2 linked regions of the Kluyveromyces lactis genome follow. The main gene of each other region encodes a partner of the protein of the gene in region 2 in a complex. Links are inferred from orthologs where the notes say so. Each region holds a gene or a part of one and is shown on either strand. Other genes may lie near its edges. The genes, in order: ARL1 and KLLA0_E22727g.

Evidence for each region.
Region 1: the proteins of KLLA0_E22727g (region 2) and ARL1 are in contact, whole or in part, in a cryo-EM structure (PDB 8EZJ), measured with the Saccharomyces cerevisiae proteins. The link is inferred for Kluyveromyces lactis from reciprocal best matches to the Saccharomyces cerevisiae genes GEA2 and ARL1. Residues at the interface, in NP_010892.1 of Saccharomyces cerevisiae: Pro71, Phe72, Ser74, Gly75, Gln78, Leu79, Met82, Asp93, Leu95, Thr96, Ile97, Gln99, Pro100, Leu103, Thr107, Ala144, Asn147; in NP_009723.3 of Saccharomyces cerevisiae: Ile50, Gly51, Phe52, Ser74, Ile75, Pro77, Tyr78, Arg80, Cys81, Tyr82.

Annotation. Positions count from the first base shown.
Region 1 is NC_006041.1:2,193,200-2,195,923, forward strand, and holds ARL1 (Arf family GTPase ARL1), read left to right. Parts: upstream 1-1,354; coding exon 1,355-1,906; downstream 1,907-2,724. Other genes in the region: UBS1 (Ubs1p), read right to left, coding at 1-461. UniProt on the Saccharomyces cerevisiae protein: Recruits golgins such as IMH1 to the Golgi. Can bind and hydrolyze GTP. May be involved in trafficking events within the endosomal system.
Region 2 is NC_006041.1:2,027,293-2,031,619, reverse strand, and holds the start of KLLA0_E22727g (uncharacterized protein), read right to left. Parts: upstream 2,830-4,327; coding exon 1-2,829. Other genes in the region: peptidylprolyl isomerase CPR7, read left to right, coding at 3,222-4,327. UniProt on the Saccharomyces cerevisiae protein: Activates the ARF proteins by exchanging bound GDP for free GTP. Plays a role in maintaining mitochondrial morphology. Stimulates DRS2 flippase activity.

The sequences.
Region 1 (2,724 bases), about 170 kb from region 2:
ATCTGAACGTCTGTTTGAGTCACCGAGTAAGACTCGAATAGTCGCGGGGAGAAATTCTTGAACTCCTTTACCATAATTCTGTTCCAAGCCATGGCCAATTTTTTATGATAATCGGTGATATTAGTACAGCGACTATAAATTGATGATAACAAATGCTCATAAAAGGAGCACAACCCATAGTTCAGAAGAACAGGAGAGAGATGATTCAAGCAGATAGTCTTATTCACAGGTATGCAGGGATTAGGTGTCAAACAGTTTAATAGTATGATAGGCTCCCATTCGTTCATAGGCTTGTGGCTTATGAAAACAACACAGTAAAGTTCCAAATCTCGGCTTTCGTCATGTAGTACTATATTCCAGAACTGCAAATTTGATTCTTGTGGCTTGATATGGCATGTAGAGTGCTTATAATGGCTCAAACGTTTCCATTCCCTAAGGAGTTTCCTGTACAACGGATGCATCTTATGTGGATGTGGCCTGCTATTTGAAAGAAAAAAAAGTAGTGAAGAATAACAATTATAGGCAATGGAAAAGCCTTTCCAATAATGATATATTACCACACTTAGTTGGCAATATAGTAGTTAAGATATCCAATAATAATCACGTTACCCTTAGCTTTGCATGCAAAGGTATGCAGTCTTACTGTTTTGTATTTTTACAAATCAGATTAATATATTCTATTATTATTTTTCTCTGATTATCATTTTTGATCTACAAATTCTTCATATATTGTAGAATATGTTTATACAGATAGAAGAAGAAAGAAAATTCAGAGCATTAATCAGTACCGGTATGCCTCATGTGAGCTCTCTGCAGTTACAAACTCGCATATATAAAAAATTGAGATTGAACAAAAAAATACAGCGAGGACAATGTGAACGATACAGACTATATACGCAAGTAATTTTTACTATGTCTAATGGGGTCTCTTTGTTTGTTGTTACCCGGCCACTAAAAGGCCAACTACAATTTTAGTGAAAGGAAAATCTCAGGATCGAGTGATTAATAACACACTGCATTGGTTAGGAGTTATGATTTCATTGTATTTAATATTTCACTCATTACAAAGACATTATCTGATCTTATAGTACGAATACAATAAAATTGTTTACACATCAGGAGACAAACTTACCGCTGTCTGGATCGCTGTTTATTCGTTTATTTGTTTCGAATTTTGGCTGTAACTGGTTCTCAAATAAGAAATATTTTGAACAAGTACTTCCTAATTTTACATATCAACTAGTACAAAAGTTTTGGTTTTAAATTATTAATTGACTTATTAATACACCTTTTCTTTAATTACCAACTACCTTTGAATTGACCGCAGTACAGCAATTACTTATAAAATATCACAATGGGTAACTTCTTTAGTTCTATGTTTGATAGACTATTGGGTGCGGAAAAAGAATTACGTATATTGATATTAGGGCTTGATGGTGCTGGTAAGACGACGATATTGTACAGACTACAGATAGGAGAAGTGATAACTACAAAACCTACCATTGGTTTCAATGTAGAGACGTTAAATTATAAAAACTTGAAACTTAACGTGTGGGATCTAGGTGGACAAACTTCGATTAGACCATACTGGCGTTGTTATTACGCAAACACAGCAGCAGTTATCTTCGTTGTTGACTCTACAGATAAGGACCGTATGAATATAGCTTCGAAGGAATTGCACCTCATGTTGCAAGAAGAAGAATTGCAGGACTCCGCTCTGCTCGTATTTGCCAATAAACAAGATCAACCAGGCGCATTAAGTGCGTCAGAAGTATCAAAGGAGTTGAACTTGGCAGAATTGAAGGATAGAAGCTGGAGTATTGTTGCATCCAGTGCCATTAAGGGCGAAGGGATAACTGAAGGTTTGGATTGGTTAATTGACGTGATTAAGGAAGAACAAATGTAATTGTAGAAGGAATTGAAAACTGCATGTTTTTTAGTGCTTCCGGTCCCATTATATTTATCTACAACTGAAATGCTTTTTTAATTTGACATGACCTAAGATAGTAATAAAAATAAATGACAAAGCTAATAACAAAGTTAAAATTCGAATTGTTTACTTCCTGCCGATGCTGGCGTAATGTCCTATTGAATTCCTTTACACGCTTATTTCAATAGACATTCAATTTTCCCATGCATTTTTATTTCATCTCCAAAATCCTCCACTATTTCGTTTACGTTTGCGTATGCGTGATATAATGTTTTCTCCTATTCAAACCATTCCATCGTGCCCTAGTTTCATTATATATATAGCATATTCATAATTCGCATAATTAAGCAGTCATTATACCATGCAACCACGAATCCTTTAAATGGAACATGGTCTTGCCAACTACCACCATATCATTCAGTATATGATGTATTACTTCGCTCAACGTAAAAAGGTAAATCTCTTTGTTATATATTACAGGTGTACATTACCCCCTCGACGAATATCATATACTGGAAACAAATACCAAAAGCGGTACCTCTTTTTGATTATTATTTGCTATAGTAATAACTACAGGCATATAGCAAAAAAAAAAGTAACCGTTATAAAGATCGTGAATTGAAAAAAAAGTGTGTGTTATTAAAACGATGACAACTTATAAAAAGGTCAAGGGAGGCAAATAACTCAGGCCTGTTTATCATTCATGTTATAAGTATATGAATTGGTACACTTAGGTTTGAGGTTTTGTCAATTGGTCTTTTCAGTATAAACTCCGATTTGTCATTTTCAGATTA
Region 2 (4,327 bases):
GTTCGATCTATTGATGAGAACTTCGGGTTTGCATTTAGGTAGGTTTGGTAGTTTCAATCTCACTTGTAAATCTGGGAAAATATCTGGTGTTATCAACATATTTTCATACAAACTCAAAAGCATATCGATAATTTTATTCCACGTCACTTCAGTAATAAGAGCCACGTTTGTATTTTGTCTTAAAATTCTGAATAGAACAACGGTTGACAGCTGCGCTTTGAAATCGTTGCCTAGAAGAATGGCTACATTACTTACCGCAATGCTTTCTTTAGAATCTTCCACATCGATCTGAACGACGGGTATTTCGTCAACATAAACGTCGTCAACAGGTTTTCTTTCTCCTGTCAAAGTAGTAAATTTGGCCATGGTTGTAATCACATCGTTATAGATATCACCAAGTTCAAACAAGCTGGCAAGATTTGAACATTTATCTAACGTTGTGAGCATTCTAGTTGCGATATGATCGTCTGAAGCAACTTCGAAAATTTTAAACAAAGTTTCTATAATGGAAGAACCCACGCTTTCAAAAATAGCCTTATCAAATTGTATCAATTGATTAGGGCCTAACGATTGGACATAGCTTTCACATTTGCTGACTTCGTGAGCTTCTGTTACAACTGTGGTAGCTGCAATTAAGTTATTCCAGCTGTCGTCGAACCATCTCTCGCTTCCATGATGTTCTTCGGGCATAACGATTTCTTTATCCCTGATAGAACAGTAAACCTTGTCCAAATACCATAATGGGAAGTCCTTCTGATTGTTACAACCCTTCAAGTTGAGGGTATAATCTTCAAATGTCATATGTTTTTTCACTTGAGGATTGTAGAAATCTGTATTCAGTATGATTACCGAGTAAGATAAAACGAAAACTGAATCTGCATCTGGCTGAATTGTAGAATAATCTCCCTCAATTTCCAGCCCATCTCTTTCAGGATTATAGTGTTGGTCTTCGACGTACTTAGCGGAGAACTGTTCCACAACTCTCTCGATCTGTTGAGATTCACCAGGTAATCTGAATTTGGTAAGAAGCGCTCTGATTGCCTCATCAATTCTTAAACCTGTAAAGTCAAACATTCCAATAAATTTTGCAAGAAGGCCGACTTTTTCAGGCGCCGCAATAAACTCACCAATAGTTTTTTTGTTCAACCGAGCATTATTATCAAAAAGGAATTTAGCTATTTCATCTTCAGAATTTGACGAAATGAAACCTTTCTCAATCAACAATGGAATGCCTTTCTTTGGCTTTTTATTAAACTCCTCTGCACATTTAATGAATTCGGTCTTCAAATTTCTCTTATTGAGAGTGCCCAGTTCTTCCGGAACGAATTCCTGCACTCCTGCTTTCAAAAAGTGATCATGCATATCATCTACAACAGATATCAATCCTTCCAAGCAGATTGGAGGAACACTATCTGATGTCGTTAGCGCAGATTCCGGTAGAGATAATTTTGTTAATGCCATCAAAAACTCAATAGCCAAATCCGACCTTTCCAAGCTGCAATCAAAGTTGATGAAAACAGCGGTGAAAAATGAAGGAGATCTTGTCCATAAAATTGAGATTTGTTCAATCAATAATTCTTTAACAACAGCTGGTCTTGGCTTAGTCTCATCTGAAACGTTTGAATCTAATAAAATTGAAAAAATAGTGTTGATGGTAAATTCAATTTGTAATGATAAATGGTCACCAAGTATAATGGTCAAATTTGTGAACAGCTGCAGGGCAGCCTGTAGCAACGAGAGTTTATCCGAATTTTGGATGATATACAGAATGTTTTTGCAGATAGGATCGGCAACCAAGGAAAACAACTGCGGATGTTGTGGGAATTTGTCGCCAGCTAATTCAATGGCTGTATTTAGTAAATGCAGACCAAACACCTTAGTGGAATTGTTTTGTTTGTGTTGGTTCTCAGGCAACAAAAGAGACACTAAAATGTCCATATAATCTTTTATAACTGCAAGTCCGTAGTCCGATTCTAAATTTTGACTTTCACTTGATGCTGTAAAATTGCCATTTTCAACGGAATCAATGTCACTGCTTCCTTCGGCACCTATGTTGTCATCTTTCAAAACGTTCTTCGAGAAGTCCTGATCGTTAATGAAGATGTGTTGTTTGCTTGAGTCTAACTTTTTCAACTTGTCAAATATCTTGACGGTAATCGATAGCATGCTCATTTCTGCTGCCTTTCTCAACACATCAGTTCTTCTTTTGTTACAAGCCAAGGACATGACAGTTTGTAACACATCGTACACACATGAGTCGGAAAGAATCTCACCTGAAGGAGAAGCAATAATTGATTCAATAAGAACCAATACCTTTAAAAGGACAGAATCATCGGATAAATGTTCAGTACCTTCAAATTTACAGTGGGTTAAAGAGTTGATCGTTTGTCTATAAGCTGCGACATGGTTTTTCGAAGATTCGTTAATAATACCAAAGGCGAAAAACTTTTGTAATGAGTCTAAGGCCAATGATGTAATATATCCTGACGTTGAAGCTGTGCTTATCACCAATAAGAAAGGTTGCAAGACAGTTAGCGCATCAACATCTTCTAAATTATCTTTATGATTTAACATCAATCTCAACTGAATTAACCCCGACAGTAGTGGATCCTTAGTCTTACTAGCTGCTAAATTATTGAAAGTACCTGCCAATGAAGCGTCCTGATTTATGAATATATCACTTCCCCCCCCTAACAAGGCTGCAACACCAGATTGCACCGAATATTTCGCGTACTTCCTCATAGAAGTCGACAAAGAAATACATTCCTTGATGACAATTGTGACCGGATCAACAGCCACATTATCACGAGTCATTTCTTGTCGATACATTTTTTGAAGTGGTTCAAGCTTAGTCAACCGTAGAACCCTAATCGCGATCAAAAGTCCTTCCTTTCTTCTCCTTCTCCTTCTCCCTCTTACTTACCTATCACACTGTTCCCAAAGTTTTGTTTGATTTCGAGGTCCCAATACCAGATCGCCTGAACTTTGATAAAAGTTTCTTACCCGGACAAAATGATCTACGAATTTGACATTACGAATGAACAGCTAGTTTAAGAACAGTGATGAGATGAGAACGAATACCTCATCCCATCAGTTAAAGCCTCCTTGTTCCAAAGCTAAGTTGCGCTTTATAGCTGTGGTCAAAGTAACAATAGAAAAAGATAAGGTAATAGGTCAAAAAGGATAACTGCTCCTCCTGTAAGATTGAATTCATTGTTGAAATGCACAAAGTATATCTTGATATTAAGATCGGCGATGAGCCAATAGGCCGAATCGTATGCGAACTGTTCGACGAACAAGCCCCTAAAACATGTGCTAACTTTATACATCTATGCAGAGGAGATGTCAATCTTAATGGTAAAGTGTTAAGCTATAAAAGAAATCACTTCCATAGAATCATTAAGAATTTTATGATTCAAGCTGGAGATTTGATGTTCGGTTCTGACGACAAGATTAACAAAGAAGAAGTTGGAAAAGGCGGTTGCTCAATTTATGCGACTGAATCTGAGTTGGAAAATTCATCTAGAAATGAAATTCAATGTTTTGGGAACTTTCCAGATGAAAATTTGGGTGAATTTACCGAAAGCTTCATATTGGCTATGGCCAACACTGGTTCACAGAATACCAACAGTTCTCAGTTCTTCATTACTACTTATCCATCTCCCCATCTAAACGGTAAACATTCTCAGTTTGGAAAAGTGATAGCAGGTAAATCTGTTGTTCGCACAATTGAGCATATGGATGTCGATGAAAATGGAGTACCAAATGATTCAATAATCATAGAAGATTGCGGTGAATGGTCTGATAATATGGAAATACCTCTTTATAATGCATGCAACGATACAATTGGTAATGATTTTTATGAAGAAAATCCAGATGATGACACCCACTTCGAAGGCGAAGATTTTGCCAAAGCATATGAAGCAGCAGAGACCATTAAAGAATCTGGTTCTCTGCTATTCAAGAAACGAGACTTTAGGAACGCTCTTTTCAAATACAAGAAGGCCTTGAAATATACTACTGCATATACTCCTGAAGTGGATATAGACAAGTTTCATAATGAGAAGTTCACTATCCAGAAACATAAACTATATTTGAACATCTGTCTGATGCTATTTTATTTGAAAGAGTATCATGAATCAATCAAATACTCTACCTTTTTAGTGGATGATGACCGTGTAGGAAACAAAGACAAGGCAAAGGCATACTTAAGAAGGGGCAATTGTCTTTATGCTTTGAATAGATTTGAAGCCGCTCTCACTGACTATAAGAACAGCGCAAAGACAGTTCCCGAGGATAAGAACGTCGAGCAGAAAATAGATATTAC